Regions from separate parts of the Mus musculus genome. Here all the other regions are reported to be linked to region 1. Evidence: microRNA targets listed by miRTarBase, many of them from high-throughput screens and not tested one by one. Region 1 holds a microRNA gene; each other region holds the end of a gene's coding sequence.
The links. The annotated mature microRNA mmu-miR-449c-5p reads AGGCAGUGCAUUGCUAGCUGG and lies in region 1 at 1,200-1,220, opposite strand. An mRNA with a match to its seed (bases 2 to 7 or 8) in the 3' UTR can be bound and repressed. Matches are read on the target gene's strand: a 7mer-m8 pairs with bases 2 to 8, a 7mer-A1 pairs with bases 2 to 7 and ends in A, and an 8mer does both.

Region 1 (3,103 bases):
TTGCCAACCCCAGAACTCTAATCTTAGTAACTGAAGAGGATTTATAGAGAAACCTTGTTTAATGTCTCCTAAACTATAAGAAACAAAATTTATATTACCAAGCTATACCCATGTTTTAAAAAAAAAAACTTTTAAGAACTTTAAATGTGGTTTTTGATGTTTTGTTTGTTTTTCCCCCTTGGGGGTGGGGGGTTGATTGGCTAATTTTTTTCTAGACAGGTTGTTTTTGTGTTTTTTTTTTTTTTTTTTTTTTTTTTTGTAGCCCTGGCTGATGTGGAACTGCTGTGTAGACCAGGCTGGCCTGGAGCCGGGAGATCCACCTGCCTCTGCCTCCCAAGTGCTGGCATTAAGTGCTTGACTAAGAACTCTGTATTCTTATACTTGGGTTTTCCAAATTTAATGTTAAGTTAAAGATGTTAGCAAAGTAAAAATGAATTAACAAAAGTTCAATTGAATTAGGCAGTAAAGTATCTAGAAGATAAAATAATTTGGGCAGGAAACATAACTAAAGACACAATGTAAAGGCTTTTAAATGTTATTTCTCTATAGGTGACATTAGTCACTGCATTTTAAAAGGCCAGCTATATATTTGATTTCAAGCGTCACTGATTGAATATAGAAAAATGTATGTTATCTAGAAAAATATTCAAATGGTGAGATTTTAGCTAATAATCTAAATTTAAAAGCATGTGGGCTATTTGGTGTAAAGAGAAGTAAGTGGTGCTAGAGATGTGAGTCAGATGAGGATTTAACTTTTTCATCCATTAAAGAAAGTACAGGAGCTGGAGAGATGGCTCAGCGGCTGAAAAGAGCACTGGCTGCTCCTCCAGAGAACACAGATTAGATTCTCAACACCAACAGGGCGGCCCCCAAAAGCCTGAAACTCCAGTTCCAGGCGATCAGAAGCCCTCTTCTGAGCTCCGCGGACACCACGCACACACGTGATGCACAGATATAAGTGCAGGTAAATAAACACAAGGTAATAAAAATGAGTTTCAAAAGAACACTCTTTTAAAAAGAACTGCAAGCTTTGGGTTAGAGCTTTAAGGGGCAGAAATACTATATTGGATCCAGCTTTTAGTAGCTGTCTTGAAGACACCTCCTTATCCACCAGATGGCACTATTTCCACGTCTTTGCATGCTTCTGAGTGCAGCAGAGGGTAGTGCAGCTAGCAACTGTTGGGATAAAGTTCTAACAGCCAGCTAGCAATGCACTGCCTGCCTGACACACCCACACTTCATCCTCTGTGGAGCCGGACACTGGGAAGCGCCCGCTAAGCAGGTATAAGTAGCTACATCAGTTGTGAGAATCCATTTCTTAAGTCTTCAGATTCTGTAAAGGTTTTTAATTTGTATTAATTCTCCCATAATTCCTGCAAATGCCTTCTATAGCAAGAATTAATTTGCTCGAGATCAGAATGAAGACAGAAGGGCAAGCCCAGAAAACTCACCTTGGGGGAACCTTGATTTCGCTGCTGCTTCATGCCGTTGGCGAGCACCCGCATGATGTTCTCCTTTGGAAATAGATTAACATAAGAAGGGAGAAAACTCTAGGAAAATCGTCACGGAGAGTGGGGAATTGTTTTGAATCCTGGGTTTGCTGATTCACTCATTCTTTCTAAAGCAACCAGGTATCTCCAGAACTTAAATTTCACACCGTTCAAAATTTAAACTAGGCTGTAGAATTTCATGGCATCTTTTGGTCCTTACTGGGTATTACAAACCGTACCTTCTGCAAGAAGCCCCATGGGAGGGTTGGGTCAAGAAAGAAAAGGATGGTACGCACCCACAACATCTCTTCTTCCGTCCGGATCTTCCTCCGGGCGGTGCGTTGCAGTTTCCACTCCATCTCCGAGTGAGTGCGCTGTTCCTGGACGCCTTGCCTCTCCCCCTCAGGGGCTAAGCAGGACCACGACTTCCCAAACCGCTAGCCTCGTCCCCCTAAACCCATCAAACCTGCCCTCCTACCCCCGAGACCCTCGCTCCTCCCACAGCTCCTGGAGCGTATTCCCCAGGGTAACCTTTAAAAAGCCCGCGGGGCGGCAATCAAAGCGGGAACCTCCTTCCGTCGGTCCCGCCACAGGCCAGCGCCTCGATGACGTCAAGTCTGGGGTGTCGGGGTGCTCGCTCGGGTCCCGCCCTCCTACCCGCGCCCCCGCACTGGGCCTCCCGAGCGGCGCGCGCCGCAGCGCCAAGCTTTGCCGCGAGCAGTGGCGGGCCTGAGCCTCCTGCCCGAGCCCGCAGGAGGTGCGGAGTCGGCGGGTAGAGAAGCGGGGTTTTTGGAGTTCACTGTTGTTTTCAAAAGCAAAAACGTTTCGTCCTAACTGACTCTAATCCTTTTTTTCCGTTCCCCTCTCCTTTTCTTCAACCCCACCCTGATTATCAAATTTGGACGCGTGCAGTAATTCTCACCCTTCTGTTTACTGCTTAGTGATAATCGCTTGTGAAAATTCCTGAACGTAAACATGTCTCTCAATGAGCATGTTAACTCCTCTGTCTTCAAACTCAAACTCAAAAAAGGGGGGGGGGGTGTCTAGGCTGCCGAGAAATGCGTTGACATTTCCAATTAATAAATTATCCGCACTGTCCACTTGGGGAATTGGGGAACTGGCCAAGTTCTCTTGCTGGATCTTGGGAGCTACTTCATAAGCAGGAAGTTTGTGAGAGAGGGAAAGAGCCAAGGAAAGCCAGTGAGACAGCTGACCAGGCCTAGGACTGGATCGATCATGAAATTGCTCGAGGGTCTGGAGGGACCTGGAGACGACTGACAGACAGGGAGCCAGATGGGCTGCTCAGCCTTGCCTGCCCATCTGAGCTGCCAAGGCAAGCTGGGCCATATGGCAGGAGACTAAACTGTCTGAGCAACCTAGGAGGTCCAGCAGCCAGGTTCTCTGCTCCCAGGTCCCCATCCCAAAGTGACAGCAGATTGCATTTTAACTCTAATAAGTTGTTTTGTGCATGCTGGGGCTAGGAGATTCAAACTGCTCAATAACTTAAGCCCACTCTAGTACGTCTGAAAATTCAAGAAATACCGGCTTCGTAGCAACCCAGCTCCCAGTGTTCCAATGACAACGGTTGAAAATGTGTGCTGGTAACCCCACAT
Region 2 (3,103 bases), not on the chromosome of region 1:
TCCTCTCTCCCTGTATGTGGAACTATGTTATGCAAAGATGAGTCCATGAGGTGTAAAACCTAGCAATGCAGTTCTTTTGCATGAGAAATAGGATATGTTGCCTGATTCCTCTTGTGTAATGGTTTTTTGACTTCTTCAAGGGTGAGCTCCAGGCCTTGTAGCACATTGGCTTCTCAGCCTCTGTTGTGAGCTCTCACACCCAGTGACAACAGAACTCTAATTGTGTGTAACTCTGTCTTCTCATGGAATTCCAGGCTGCCAGGACGTTGCAGATGAGTTCAGGGCACAAGAGATTGATGGGCAGGCCCTGCTCTTGCTAAAAGAAGACCATCTCATGAGTGCAATGAACATGAAGCTGGGCCCAGCCCTGAAGATTTGTGCACGCATCAACTCTCTGAAGGACTCTTAACAGGAGCGAGGCTTTGTGCTTCTCAGCCCATTCCTCTCACAAGGTGAAGGTAAAGCCTCGCTGGGATTCTCTCCTGAGAATATCAGACTGATGGAGGAAGGCCGAGTGCACTGGGACCGCCACGGCCAGTGCCGACGTTTCTCTTCAGATGTCCTAACTCATCATACATTTTCATAATTAGTGAACATCGGTGACATTAATTTTACCACTTACATGCTACACTGAAAGACTTGTTACAGAGGCCCATATTTTTCAAAGAAACATGTTATACTAGATAATTTTTTAAAGGTAATGTTTATCATTAATATAAAAAAACCTTTTAAAAATAATTATTGATTTACACTCCCCCTCCTTTAATTCTCTTTTCTTATACGTTTTCCTACCCAGTTAGTTTTCTAAATGTTGTCATAGAGATATAGGATAATTTAGGAGCCCATTGACAGAACTGAATGCAATGAAATGCCAGTCTGTTTTAAAAAGCGTATCTTCCAGACAAATGCTTTGGCTGTGAAAAGGGATTGTGTTTTAGCATAAACAGTATTTTTGAAGTTCTCAAGAGTCTCTAGTCTAGCCTTTACCCAGGTTGGCATGACTGACAATTTTCCTCCTGGTTTGTACATTAAGAGCAATAGTTCTCAGTGGAGAACTTGTCCTCCAGGGGACAATTGGCAATATCTAGACACATTCTGGTTGCCATGGCTTGGGCTTGAGTTTTGTGAGGGTGGTTATAGGAACTGAGGTGTGACAGCCAGTGGAGATGTTGCTGACTACCCTACAGTACATAGGATGCCCCTCTGTCACCAGGAACGATGTATTATGGATGCCAGTGGTGCCAGTGAGCACAGTGGGCAGCCTGGCTGAGCAGAGAGGCATACTTAAGTGATGGCTGTGAGGAGGGCGATGTGCAGTGAAGGGTTAGCCAGTGGCACCAGAGTTCTGCAGAAGCAGGTTTTGGTTTTACCGTATACTAGAAAGGAAAGGAAATCCATAAACCTGGGCTATAAAACCAGGCTAACTCACAGACCATGTGACTCTGGTGTGGCCCTGGCCCATTGTCACCTCTTCCTGACTCTGTTCTGTGCACCGATGATGGTGCTTGATGCAGCCATGCCTCGGAGCCTCTTTCAGCAGCCCAGTGGCAGTGGAGGTGGAATCCCTTCCTTGAAGCAACCCTGCTGAGTCTGGCTAGAATGCAGTTCTTTCTCCCTTACTAAGGCTGTGGATTCTTCCCACGAAGTATTTAAAGTGATTTCTCTTAATCAGAAGTTTTTATTCAACAGTTTTCTGTTAGGACACTAAGCCAAATTTTTCTGTGGATGCTCTGAAATCTTTGTAGTGCTGGGCATCAAAAGATTTGCTGACATTGTTTGCTTTCTCTATCTTTTTGCTACATGTTTGAGAACTCTGAACAAATGAAGGGACATGTGCATAGCCTTGGCACAGATGGAAAAGACAGCAGAGTCTGAGCTCAGTCATCTTTATGGCGCTTTTCAGAGATTGGGTTGAGTTAGTAGAAGACTAAAAGATGTCACAAAGACATCACAGATAAATTTATCTTTTGGCTTTGTGTACATTAGAAAATGTTGGTTATTTTTATACAGAAATATAGTGGATAATTTTTTTAATCTTTAGATGCCTCTTGTTTGAATGTATGCTTTGTGAGATTATTGCTGTAGTAGTTTTAAGAGCTGTTCACTAGTAGTCCTGTGTAGACTCAGAATGTGTAAGTAGCTGAGGCTCCTGTTTCAGACTACAGTAGTATAGGCTACGTTCCCTATTTCTTTGTGTCACATTTGGTTATTCACATTTCAAGGAAGGCAGGTATTCTACAGTCACCTGCATATATTAGTACTGAGTCATCATGGCAGAGTTGTCACGGACGTTCCTGTCTCCAACAGAGGCTGGCTATGCAGCACTAAGGACTGCCTGCCATAATGAAGGAGGCACAAGGCACATTTCCTCTGGAATGAAAACTATGGTGTAGTTAGTAATCCACAGTGAATATGGGATTGTCCAGAATAGACCTCCAGCAATAATGCTTCCCTCCTACAAATACTTACATCTAGCCTTTAAGGCATTAACTCTGCACTTGTACTAAAACCAGCCCATCGTGTGCTTATGAGAAACCCCTGTGCCTAGCACTGTCCATAAGCACCCCTACACAGTTTACACGAAGGGTTTCTCTTGGAGGATGCCTTCTTGTCCTTCGTCTTAGAAGTAGCCCAGATCTTCTGTTGTCTGCACTTAAATTTAACTAGCAAATACACTTTTTTTTTTACAAGTGGGTTATTTTATTTAGAAGTGGCTCATTTGGTGTTTGGTAGTTCTCCCATTGCTGTAGGTACTTCTTTCTAGGTAATTTTTAATTGTGCTAATTTGAAAGCTTCAATTACATTAAATGGGGACACACTCTGTGTTTCTCTCTATCTCCTGAGTATTAGGCTGTTCAATGTGACATGGACAGGAAGAACGCTAGTTTCATTTCCTTTCTTATTACTAAGCACTTAAGAACTTTCTTAGAGGAAAAAAAGAAAAAGACAGGAAGGGAACATGGTTTCTTCCTATTGTTGCTTTCTGAGTTTGCCTTGCCTGACTTGAAACCCTTCAACCACTGTGGGACACACTTTTCACATGTTATTTGTTTTAAGTTCTGTGTTCTTAGGAAAATAAACAGCTGGCTTGTAAAAGTTACTT
Region 3 (3,103 bases), not on the chromosome of region 1:
CTCCAGTGTTATGGGTGTGAGTGTCGTGAGTGTGAGATTGAACCTATGAAATCTCTCTGAGATGTCATGATTACTTAACCAATACCTTTTATTTGACAAAACCACATGGGCACATCTGCTTCTGTTCCTTTTAGGTCAGCCTGGATTCTCGAGTTAGAGAGGTGATCAACAGGAGTCTGCTGGACCCCAGCCCACACATGTATGAAGACGCCCAGCTTCAGATCTACACCCTAATGCACAGAGATTCTTTCCCAAGATTCTTGAACTCACAGATCTATAAAGCTTTTGTGGAAAGTACCACCAGCTGTACTTCTGAATCCTAATTTTCAGTTGACAGGCCAAAAAAAAAAAAAAATCCATTTCAGAGGGCTGGGATGGGAAATAAAAGTAATTAAATAACACCAGAAATTGAGTTCCTGAAAAACTACAGGTTGACTGCTGGGGAAATACAATGAGGAAGGTCTCTTGTCTCCATTTTTATCAAGGTTATCCATGATTCTGTTTGGGGCAACAACAACAAAAAAAGCCTATATGAGACAATGAATTGCCAAATTAAGTTTGTTTGATTCAACACTTGCTCTACTTGCAAGCAAATTGTGTTCCTAGTCCTCTGAACAATCCCCTAGTGCATCTCTAGAGGCCGCATGTGCAAAGTAAAACTGCTTCGTCTGCCCTTTACTTGTGCTATTAAATCAGTAGCATACCTTGTATCTGTATTTAAGGACTTTTGTGCAATATGGTCTCTTAGAAACAATTGCCAACAAATTGGCCGTGGTTTGCATTTTTTAAAAGCATAATCCAATACACACAAAGGCTATTTTAAACATGTAACAGTGATATTTAACCATGCTACATACTGTGTTTAGTATACCGTCTCTGAAGCCAATTTTTCTGTACATGTTTAAAAAAAATAGAAGCTGTTAAAGGATCTTACTGTGTGAGCCCTCTGGTTGTTCACTGCCCAAATTCTGGCATTTTTGTTACAGAAGAGTTTACTATATAAGAAAGAAAGAAAGAAAGAAAGAAAGAAAGAAAGAAAGAAAGAAAGAAAAGAAGAGAAAAAAAGGAAAGAAAGGAAAAGAAAGAAAGAAGGAAAGAAGAAAAAGAAAGAGAGAGAAGACAAAACTTTATGATAAGAAAAATTTTAATAAGCACAAAACAATCTGCAGATATCCTGTCTCATTGAAAATTCCAAGAGTGATACTGTTTTTAGGTCTGAAAGAAGAAAAGAGTCTATGTATATATGAAATGTCCAGTACTATAATTGAGTTATTAAAGAATGGCTCCTCAGTTCTAAAAGAGTGATGCAAACCTCTGAATGTCAGCAGGTAAACAATAATAAGTTCGATAATCCAGTTTGGGAATATAAAGGGAAAAGAACTAGTAAAGGAATGCCTACATGTAGCACTGTCAAAAGCATAGTGAGGAATTGCATCTGACTTGTGGCGTATTCACCTTGAACATATAATCCAGTGAAAAGCTTAAGTTTTTCCTAAGTAACACTTTATAAAGAATTACAAAGAAGAAAACCTTCAATGTCAGACCTTAACTGTTTTCACATAGTCTCTCAAGAAAGACTTATTTTAACATTGTTAAAAACAAACTCTTAACCCTCATCCATAATTAAAAGGCAGTACAGTGCTCAAACCTTCTAGCTGCCAATATTATTTTTTTATAATTACATTAACTCTTTACATGAAATACTCCCCTGACCACAGCATGTATTTATGACCTTCTGAACAGTATCGTCTTGTGCACAAAACCAAAATTACAATCAATGTCATATTTATATCAAGGTCTTACCTTTCAATATCAAAATCCCCTGGAGCCTATTTTTTTAATCTTAAACTCAATGAGTATATGTTGAGTAACCTTTAAAAATGAAAGATTTAAAAAGATTTATATCCACTGAGAATACAGGCCTTATATTAAGGATGATATTAAAATTATAGGTTTTATTTGTCATTTTTAACTACCTCTCATATTTTTAATTTATTAAACATATTTTTTTAAAGCACAAGTTTGGAGTTTTCTTTTTAACTTTATTTTACTTGAAAGGTTGGCATCATGTTTCTTTTTCCATAAATTTAAAACATTTCAAGAATTGTTTTTTAAGTGAATATGATTTTCTAATTTATATAGAATTCAGGAGCTATGATTCAAAGGGCTATTACATATTCCCTATGCAAATATTTTAACTGTTGCAGTGTTTGACAAAATGGGATTTTAAAAAAACAATTTGCAGAGTGGAAAAACAAAACGTTGTGTTTACACTGGCGCCGCTGACTATCCTACCATGCTCAGCACTTTTAAATACATTATTTATGACAATGTAGTTTAAATGCAAGATATTTATAATATTCATCTTTTAAAAAATGCCTGTGGATTTTTTTTTTTCCTGAAAGTGTTAGTGTGTTTAAGATACGCTTTGCTTATGTCACCTAGATGTTTACTATTTGAATAGTTTTGGTAATCTGTTGAGAAAAAAAGATAGTTATGAAGATGTTTACAAAAATATAATCCTATTTTTTCCTAAAGAGTCAAGAAAACGTAAAAGCATCATGGCTTCTATTGTGAAGTCCCACCGTTCTGAATGATTTGATTCTTTCCTTGATTAGTGTTGATTATGCTAATAGGATGTATACACATGTATAGTGTACCATCATCCTCGTTCTGTGTTTGGGGCACAATGAGTTGGTGCACATGACCAGGAAAAATGTAATATATTACCACACCCTGCATGCATGATTGTTTTCGATGTAGACTTTATTATATCCCTGTTCCATGGATGCCAGTGACTGACTGTCACAGGCGATCTTTACAATACGCTCTGGACTATTGGGCGAGCTGTCTGTGTGACAATGCATTTAATATTTTACCAAATGGAAGAGATAAGGCTCCTTGAGAGAGTCCTCATCTCTAACCTAGGCATTTGCAGTGTTTGATTTCAAAGTTGCTGTGTCTTTGGAACCTGTGTACAAGGAGGTTCCAAAGCTGATTTGCACAGTCCCTGCCATTAGCCATTGCTATGTGAGCAGTTCTATGCTAAATTCATATTTCAGGGGGATGGCTTCTTAGTTCACTTGAGAATGTTTCAAGTTTT
Region 4 (3,103 bases), not on the chromosome of region 1:
GGCCCTGGAAGAGTTCACTCATGAGGGGTAGGAAGGGGCCCAGGCTAGTGGGTGACTAGGAGGCTGATGTGGGGGAAGGGTCTCTGTGGGAAGAGCTGGGGACAGAGCAGCTCTGACAAGGGGGGACAAGGGAACCTCACCCCCCCCAGTACAAAAGCAATGGCTATAGTAAGCCGTGGAAGCCACAAGGGGGCCCGCAGCACCACCGCCACTTTCGGACATCCCTCTGAGATCCACTGTGCATGGGACACTCTTACCCGCATGCTCTGTAGCCTTCAGAGGACCCTGTGCAGGAGCCAGAGGGTGTCTCTGATCAGCATCTGCCCGGGGAAGAGCAGTATGCACCACAGGGCCATCACAGGACCTGGACTGACAGTGGGGAAAGGTCCGCCCTGACCCAGCTCTCTAGCAACTCTACCCGTGACCGAGTCATTGCCCAAGCAAGAAGGGAAGATGTTGCCCTCTGGCGGCCTAGGCTTGTCCATCTGTCCTCTCAGTCGACACGTCCTTCCCCACTCCACACAGGTACTTGATTGGAGAAGAAGGGTATTGTCTGACATCACTGCAGAGCGCCCTGAGCTATGTGGAACTTCTGTCCCGGGGACGGCTGGACAAGTAGTGGTGGCTGGACCTCACAGACCAAAGGAGCCACGGGACCTCCACGCTGCACTGCATATCTGGTGTGGGGACACTGAAGGCCAGCTTGCTGTGGTAGCACTCTATAGCACTTGCTCACCTTCTTTACCATGCATCTGTCCTGGAGGCCTAGGACAGTGCCTCTTTAACAGGGCATGGCTGGCTGAGTCAGGCCTGCCCCAGACCCCATAGGAGAAATCTAGCTGCCGTTCCCTGGGGAGCCTGCAGCACTGATTGATGGCTCTGACCTCTTCTCATGGACACTAGGCAGCCCCCACTGGGGTATCAGCACAGAAATGGGTATTGGGAACCTTGCCGGGCCAATCTAGTTTTACATGCCTCCAGTCTCCTGAGACAGCCCAAGTTTGTGTGAGCCAGTTTCTTGTTAGTCACAAGTGGGCTTTACCCTGCCCCCAGAGAACTGGGTGTAGGTAGTGTGAGGCTGTACTGTTTATTTACCAGGTAGCAACTGCCCTGTTTGCTTTTGCTGGCCCGGGTGTCACTGCCCAGGCCTGGGTTATGAGCCTTTCTCCTACCAAGGTCCAGGACATCCTGCCCTGGGCTTATCTTGGTTGGGGACAGTGAAATATGTTCAGGACACTGGCTAACAAATACAGTTGTACAGACTCTTCAATGTCAGAGTCTAGAGGTCAGCCCCTAGACTGTTATATGTCTCCAAGTGGCTACCAACTCAGCCTAAAATAAAGAAGTCACTCTACCGAAGTCCATGTGACTTGTTCGTTTACCCACTAGGCAGCCAAGACTCAGGCAACACAGCCAGCCTCCTAGAGATCACAGCTGACAGCCCAACCCCAGATCCTCTGCACAGAAGCAGTCTCTTCCCAGGGCTGTTCCCAGCCAGGAAATTGTGGACTTCCCCGCTCTGGGATAGCAAGTGTCTGCAGGGTACCATTAGGACGGCTGGAATTGAGTCATTACTGTAGTCCTGAGCCCACAGCAGTTCCCTGAAGGCGCCTGAGTAATCTTCAGCCTACTCTCACACACAATGGACTGTCCCACACAGCGATGCCCTTTGGTTCTGCTGGGGCCCTAGGGTGATGCTGGCATCCGAGCACAGGCAGCATCTTCCACGGAGGCGAGCTGACCCACCCAAGAAAGGAAATACCCATGGCAGCTGGGGTTGCTGTGAGGAGGTGGTGGCAGGACACGGGGGAGTTTCCAGTCCCAGACGGCAGTAGTAGTGGGGTCGTTGGAGCCTCTTGGAGTCAGGCTAGATGTAACTTGGTTATTGGGCATTTATTGAACACTTGTGTTCCAACCTGCAAGGAAATGGAGAACATGCATCTTGGAGCCTCGTAGGCTGACCTCAGAGTCCAGTCTGCAAATGGTGCAAGAGAAGCCTGAGGCCATGACACCAAAAGCAAGTGGTGGGCCCAGGTCAGCCTGGGCACGACACCCATTCCTGGGGCATTTGACCTATGGTCGCGATCTCTGCGGATTGGGAATGGGCCGGAAGCCCCCAGCAGCTACTTCCCACTCACCTGCGTCAGGAATAGCACAGACTCGGGTCTCAGCTAGGCCAGAGAAATGTCTCAGTAGTTAAGAGCACTTGCTGGGCAGTGGAGGCGCACTTGGGAGGCAGAGGCAGGTGGATTTCTGAGTTCGAGGCCAGCCTGGTCTACAAACTGAGTTCCAGGACAGCCAGGGCTGCACAGAGAAACCCTGTCTCAAAAAATGAATGAAAGATGAATGAATGTTAAAACAGATACCGTGTGTCTCAGCTGACTTGGATCGTCGGCACTGTCGGCTCCTCGAGGCTCGTGCTCTGGTGAGGTGTAGAGACCTTGGACGGGAATGCCAGGGGACTACTGAGTTTTATGGTAATGGACCTGCTGCAGGCTTCCGCTCTGACTTTCTTTTTTTTTTTTTAAGATTTATTTATTTATTATATGTTAGTACACTGTAGCTGTCTTCAGACACTCCAGAAGTGGGAGTCAGATCTCGTTACAGATGGTTGTGGATGGTTGTGAGCCACCATGTGGTTGCTGGGATTTGAACTCCAGACCTTTGGAAGAGCAGTCGGGTGCTCTTACCCACTGAGCCATCTCACCAGCCCCTGCTCTGACTTTCAAGTCAGTTTTAAGGCCCCACTTCACAGAACCAAGGTTACTGGGTTAACGTAAATCCCAGTTCTGAGAGTACCTGTTGGGTTGGGATAAAATCAGAACATACTGCGGCACACCCTGGGAGAGACCACGCAGTGCTGCTCAGCTGACCATGGCACTAAGATGAAGCCAGTTGTGCAAGCGATGCTCCTCTGTGTGTGTACATGTGTGCGTGCATGCGTGCGTGCGTGTCAGAATCATTTTTTGTATATAACTGAAACTCATAATTCAAAATTCACTTTGCCTGTGAATTTCTTTTTTTGTTGTTGTTGGTTTTGTTGTTGTTGGTTTTGTTGTTGTTGTTGTTGTTGTTGTTGTTTTCGAGACAGGGTTTCTCTGTG
Region 5 (3,103 bases), not on the chromosome of region 1:
GTGATCAACCCAAGAGCTTCACAATACATGCCAGTGATGTGCCACTAAGGTATACCCCAAATCATGGACGTTTTTAAATTTTATTTATCTATTTATCTGGTTTTTCAAGACAGGCTTTTCTCTGTGTTGCCCTGGCTGTCCTGGAACTTGTTCTGTAGTCCAGACTGCCCTCAAACTCAGAGATCCACATGCCTCTGATTCCCAAGTGCTGGGATTAAAGGCTTGCACCACCTCCCCTAGCAAATGTACTTATTTTTAAGATATATGTGTGTGTGTATATGTGTGTGTGTTCATACACAAGCCAGTGTGCAGATGCCCAGAGAAGCCAGAGGCATTAGAATCCCTAATGCTGAAGTTATAGGAAGTTGGTGAAACACTCTACATGAGTTCTGGGAACTGAACTTGGGTCCTCAGCAAGAAACATAACCACTCGGCCATCTCTGTAGCTCCTAGAACTATTTTTGAAATTAGAAATGTGTATATCTTTTAACTATGCGTGCAGTGAGTAAGCAGCTAGCTGGCTCAGAAGGTCAATCCAGTGTTCTGTTTACAACAGACCAGACAATGACATAAACTCAGGAGGAATTATCCAGGACAAGGAATGACACGTGGTGTCAATATTTGTACATTTACATCAGTAACAATTCATGAAGAACATAGTATTCTATGAAAGTACTAACAAAGTCAATTAAAAATGTATTGTTATGGTATAGTCATAACAAATGGTCAAGCAGGGCCGTTCCACGATTCTCAACCCAGCCCTGTCCTGGAAGACCTGAAGGAAGCAGCTGATTCCATGATCTTTCCACCTATGAGGAAAAGTCTCAAAGCAGCTTTAGAGAAAATTGCTTTAAGAAAAATCTTTGTTTTTGTTTCTAGCCCAAACCTTAAGAAAATCAAAACAAGCTGAGTCTTGTGACATGGGGGAGGGATGGCCAGAGCAAGTCACAATAGGTCATTTCCTAATTAAACATAGGACACAGGCAGAAATTCCAAATAATAGTAAGAAGCCAGGCATGTAGAGCTCTGAGCATACTTAGACAGGTCTGCGGGAAGGCCAGAAGAGCTCTGCCAACCAATACCCACAAGCACGTGCTCTTCGGTGTCAGCAGCTCCACAGCCAGATCTTGAGCAGACAGGTCTACACAGATTAATCCAACGTCTGCCATCTGTCCTCCACTGGATCTTTATTTTGAGAAGAGCAAAGAGGAAGGAACTAGAAACCTGGGCAAAGTCAAATGAGAGAACATCTTCACAATATCTTTACATAGCATAGTAAAGATACACCTAGCTGATGTCCAGCACACATCAGCTTCTTTTAAAAGTTGGCTTATGGATTAAAAGGCCTCATTTTGATCCATCATCATGGCAGATGGCTTTTTCAAGTAAATAAAATGTAGACATAATTATTGCTCTTTTTCACCCCATTATCTTTTTGAACCACCATGTGCACGAAAGACTTAGAGCAGGGAGGACCAGTGAGACCTGGACAAGGAGTGCCAGTGGCTGCAGCTTGTAAGTAATGGAGTCTTAGAGACTGGCTAGCAACAGACTGCACCCCACACACAACTCACAAAATGCCGAATAATGTAGAACCTCAGCGTGTTAACCCAAGGCCCACTGTTGTCCTCCACTCCACCTTAAGCTCTGGAGACCTGGTGGCTCAGGCAGTCATCATATGATCCCTGGTGAAGAGTTAGTTGTGCATGTACACTTTGATGTACCTTACATGGAGACACAGAGAAACCTCGACAGGCACCTGCTACATCAAAAAGAAGTGTCCCTTTAACTACAGCATAGCCTATAAACACTCAAATGCTCGTCAGAACGTCCCTATCAAGCATCCTGAAGGGAAATCTTCATAGGGCAGCCACTGTGCCATTCAGAATCGCCCGCTTCACATTCACATACTTAAAATGGAAAAGCACTCCAGACCATCTGCTTGAATTAGAGATTTGCTGCCAACTTCCCAGAATGGGCAATCACAAAATGGTAGCAGAAACATGGGACAACAACCCTGGAGCAGGGTAGTTCAATGTAGCACAGGCCAAGGAGGAGACACTTCTCCTTCACACAGCACTGTCTCTCCGTGGCAGGAGAAACTTGTCTCTTCTGCCTGCTACTCTGGGTTTTATGGCTCCATGCTAGAGTCATTGGCATCTGGAATGTCTGTTTCATAGACTGTCAAGAACCAAGAGGCTTCCATGGTGGTGGTGGTGGTGGTGGTGGTGGTGATAGAAAAGTTTAGGTCTCCTGGATGGCATCAAACAGACAGCAACTCGGGTTGATCCTGGAGCCTGTGCTTATTCCACAGTGCAGGCTGGGCACGGAGACACTGGTTCACTTGCAGCCAGGGAAGCTGTAGATCATTTGGTCCTGTGGTGCTCTGCCAGGCAGAAGCTGAGTCCCAAATTCCCCATCTGATTTCCAGGAAGGAGCGAGAGACCTGCCCTGCATCATTTCCCTCTAGTACAGAAGGAACATCTAGGCCTGGATCTACACAGCATCAGGTGATCAGTGGTGCTGTCTAGAGTCCTGGGGAACAAGGGGCTCTGTGTCATCTTCTGGGTTTCGGCTGGTGGCTGTGACCAGACTCTGCATAGTCTCCTGCTGATACTGCCTGGCCTTGTTGTAGAGCAAGACACCCAATGTGACAAGGATGGTGCCAATGGCAGACAGGCTAGTGATTTTGTTTCCAAAAACGATGATGCTGAGCCAGATAGACAAGGCGTGCTTCACAGTACTGGCGACACTACAGCAGTAGAGATAACAGTCAGACTCTGGGTTCACACCCACACAGGGTATAGCCTGCTGCTGGCAGTAACTACGAATGTCACACAATGCAACAGTGCTGTGTTGTCCATCCAGGGTCTCAGCCCAAAGAGGGACATGGATAAGGTGCCCAACACAGAGGGGTTAGGAGCATTGGGGGGGGGGGGGGTTCACCTGCATCTTCCCTCTTTTATTTCTCAGGTTTATTATTTTTTTAATGAAAAATTTCAAAACAAGGGCTGAAGAAATGTCTCAGTAGGTAAGAGCAATGGCTGCTCTTTCAGAGGACCTGGTTTCCAGCACCCAGATGGTGGCTCAAAACTGTAACTCC
Region 6 (3,103 bases), not on the chromosome of region 1:
TACTCTAGAGGGCCAGAGCTCAATGTCACTAGGAAGGGATTGCCCTCTGGGGACAGAGGATGCTGAAGGGGAGCACCAAGTCCTGGCTTGCAGCAATTCTCTAATAGCTTCATTATTTTCACCCACTTGGTTCCTCACTTTTACAGAAAAGATGGCGTTCGTCGGCTTCAAAGGCAGCTTCCGACCCATCTGGGTGACTCTGGAGACTGAGGACCACAAAGCCAAAATCTTCCAAGTGGTGCCCATCCCTGTGGTGAGAAAGAAGAAGCTGTAAGGAGAGTTGCCACTTGGTACCACCCCAGGCTGGACCCCTACAGCAGCCGGGGTCAGGATGGCTAGGCCCCCTGGTTCTCAGCTCTGCTGGGCTAAGGGACAGATATCAGAGACCTTGGTGCTGCCACCTGCCCCTACTCAAGTCTACCTGCAGCCCCTGGGCAGTGTTGGCCGATGCTACAACCTCCTCTTGGGTGCTTCTCTCCTATCTGTGCCTCATCGGTAGGCATGGGGACCATACAAAGAGACCTGAGTTGTGCTGGCAGCAAAGGGCCACTTGGGCAGGAGTCTGAACCCACCTAGGAGATGGTCTGGATAATGTGACCACTTGCAGATTTCCATAGTCACTTTCAGATACATTAAGTGGCAGATGGAAGGAGTACATCTTTATTCCTGTAAGTGAGGGTGCGGCTTCCTGAGTTTAGGAGCTGGCGTATGGACAGAGCTGTCCAGCATGGCAGATTGCACTGGGGAGGAGATGGAACCCTGTCTACAGGGGATCCTTTTTTCAAGAGACTTCAGCTGGCACACTGGGACAGGGACTAGGTGGATCCTGTTTGTCCTTCCTGAGATTACAGGACTCAACTGTGCTTTGCTCTGTGCCTGGAGCCCATCAGTAGAAGTAATCATTGTAGTTGACATCTCCACTGAGTGCCCTGGATACAGAGAATGGAGCGATGAGAGCTCAGACCTGGGGGTCAGCTGGTGACAGGCAGCCAGGTCTCAGCACACTTTGATACCAGGTTGAGAGAGCAGAGGTGGATTGGAGGAGGGGAACCTCACCACACCCAGAAACATGGGGAAGGCTTCTTCTGGAAGGTGATGGTCCTGGCAGGAATCAAGGACAGAGATGATGAAGAGAGAAGAGGTGGCCTCTGGCATGGCTCAGAGGTGAAGGCTTTCCTGCCACCACTTGCAGCATCTGAGTCATGCTAGGTCACCTCTTGCTGACCCACTTGTGATAGAGAAGCAGGGTCTGCGGAGAGAAATGGACTGAGTTACGATGCACAGAACCTCGTTCAGATTGGTGTCCAGCCAGCCCCCTCTGACTCTGCGAGAGGGTGAAGTGAAGTTCACAGACCTGAGGCTGTACAATGGGTCTCCAGTGCACTTCAGCTTGGAGCTGAGCAGAAGACTCCAGGAAATCTGAACATGCTCTCGCCACAGTGAACCTGGGGTGTCAGAGATGGAAAGGACCTTGGGGGCCCTTGAGGACCATCTAGCCCAGCATTTTGTACCTACATCTGAGGAAAATGGTACTCAATAACACAGCCAGGTCTGTGAGCCCCAAGCTCAGCAACCCACTGCCACACCACATTGCCTCAGTGGCTAGCCTGGGGTGTCCAGTATTCCCAAGTAGCTTTCGGAAGGGAGCATATCACCTGAAATGGGGAGAAGCTGTTCGTGATTCTTGGGTGCGCACCAAATGGGAATTGAGTGGGGGGTTCCCCACTAGGTTCTTTCAATTTCAAAATATACGGTCTTTTGCAAAGGGCTTTTCCCTCTTGCCCCTCAGTACACACTGCCCACTCTCCTCTAGGCAGCAGCCCTGCCACTGTCTTTACACTGCCAGCCACATGTGGGCATGGGCTGCTCATGACTGTGGAATTCTTTTGGTGCCACCTTATTCCACAGTGGTGCTGGTATGCCCAATGGGTAGCATCAGGATATGCCAATGTGCTTCTGCTGGGCCAATTGGCTCCTTGTGGGGATCTGAGAGTGGTTGGCTCCAGACCAGGATCTTTCAGCTTATGTTCACTCTGAGCAAATAGCTCCGATGCCCAGACGAGTGAAAACTATCCATGTCCAATATTCTTCGGAGACATCAGGGTTTCTCTGTGTTTCATGAATGAGATTGGTCCCCTTTCCTCCACAACCACAACCTTTCTTTTTCAAAGAAGATTTGCTTCGGTCCCCTTTGTCCAGTGGTATTAAGGAGCCTTAGTCCCAGAGTCTACTCTCCAGGTTGAGCCAACTCGCAGGGGGTCTTTCCTACTAATGGATCTTGCAGCTGCTGGGATGTGTCTGTGGGACCATGCCTCTTAAGACATAGTGGCTCCAGTTGCGAGTGTCAGAGAAAAGACCTCTTCTGGGGAGATGAGTGGGAGGGGGAGGGGGAGGGGGAGGGGATAAAAGTGACCTCATGTTTTTCTTGTCTAAGTTTCATTGACTTTTCAAGGCGAGGGTCTCACACTGTGAACCACTTAAGACTCGATCACTTTCAGGTGGCCATGAATGTTGAATGTCTTTGGCTCAGTTCATTTCAGCAAATACCTATTGGAAAGTTCTCTGAGTTGTACATATGTTGAACAGTACAGGTTCTGTACGGAAAGCGTTCTTTCCTAAACTATTCACCAAGAGTCGATATACAGGCATTTTCTTGGTAGCACAAAAGTCTTTCTTGCTTAGAAAGTTGCTCTTGTCCTTTCTGTTGGTCAGCATTGTCACTGAGTCAGGGGCCTTTGATTGAAAGGCTCATCTGTCCTGTTGGCTTAATAGCTGGCTCTTTCTTGTGAATTGGATGCATAGCATGTTTTGTATGTAAATGTTCCTTAAAAGTGTCACCATGAACAAAGGTATATTTTCTATTTATTTATTATATATTCACTTCAAGAAGTCACTGTCAGAGAAGTGAAGAGTCATCTTAAGTATTATATTAGAGGATGTCCTTTGGACCACCGGAAGGAGGTGTGCCCAGAGCCAAGGACATCAGCTCTGGTTTGGAAAAATCCTGCTGTACCATATTAAACATACAAAGGATGTCATTGTCTTGTCTGCTTGTTTCATTTCCTGGTATAGTGGGTCTCATTGTTAAACTAGTCATCTAGAG

Region 2: miRTarBase lists Phc3 as a target of mmu-miR-449c-5p. The part of its 3' UTR that is shown has no 7-base or 8-base seed match.
Region 3: the mRNA of Rgs17 is a reported target of mmu-miR-449c-5p. Seed matches in the 3' UTR shown: 7mer-m8 at 956-962.
Region 4: miRTarBase lists Vps9d1 as a target of mmu-miR-449c-5p. Seed matches in the 3' UTR shown: 7mer-m8 at 1,137-1,143.
Region 5: miRTarBase lists Slc35e2 as a target of mmu-miR-449c-5p. The part of its 3' UTR that is shown has no 7-base or 8-base seed match.
Region 6: the mRNA of Cemip is a reported target of mmu-miR-449c-5p. Seed matches in the 3' UTR shown: 8mer at 1,576-1,583, 7mer-m8 at 1,794-1,800 and 8mer at 1,838-1,845.

What each region holds. Positions count from the first base shown.
Region 1 is chr13:113,034,125-113,037,227 of GRCm38, reverse strand. Mir449c (microRNA 449c) reads right to left here and starts at 1,245; the gene lies at 1,137-1,245. It overlaps Cdc20b (cell division cycle 20B), which reads right to left and starts at 1,849. Exons shown (of 12, transcript NM_001281487.1): 1 at 1,787-1,849; 2 at 1,452-1,514. The coding sequence starts at 1,849.
Region 2 is chr3:30,904,642-30,907,744 of GRCm38, reverse strand. It overlaps Phc3 (polyhomeotic 3), which reads left to right. Exons shown (of 15, transcript NM_001165954.1): 15 at 255-3,103. The coding sequence ends at 409. Among named protein-coding and RNA genes, the nearest start is that of Gpr160, 50 kb to the right of the region's middle.
Region 3 is chr10:5,830,173-5,833,275 of GRCm38, reverse strand. Rgs17 (regulator of G-protein signaling 17) reads left to right here. Exons shown (of 5, transcript NM_019958.4): 5 at 135-3,103. The coding sequence ends at 323. Among named protein-coding and RNA genes, the nearest start is that of Mtrf1l, 7.8 kb to the right of the region's middle.
Region 4 is chr8:123,240,612-123,243,714 of GRCm38, reverse strand. Vps9d1 (VPS9 domain containing 1) reads left to right here. Exons shown (of 15, transcript NM_028200.2): 14 at 1-27; 15 at 526-1,359. The coding sequence ends at 619. 4933417D19Rik (RIKEN cDNA 4933417D19 gene) reads right to left here. Exons shown (of 3, transcript NR_045849.1): 3 at 1,356-1,916. Among named protein-coding and RNA genes, the nearest start is that of Spata2l, 5.9 kb to the right of the region's middle.
Region 5 is chr4:155,618,161-155,621,263 of GRCm38, reverse strand. Slc35e2 (solute carrier family 35, member E2) reads right to left here. Exons shown (of 9, transcript NM_177186.4): 9 at 1-2,752. The coding sequence ends at 2,515. The region is part of intron 1 of Gm16023 (predicted gene 16023); the gene reads left to right. Among named protein-coding and RNA genes, the nearest start is that of Gm16023, 5.0 kb to the left of the region's middle.
Region 6 is chr7:83,932,792-83,935,894 of GRCm38, reverse strand. Cemip (cell migration inducing protein, hyaluronan binding) reads left to right here. Exons shown (of 29, transcript NM_030728.4): 29 at 147-3,038. The coding sequence ends at 274. Among named protein-coding and RNA genes, the nearest start is that of Gm30440, 36 kb to the left of the region's middle.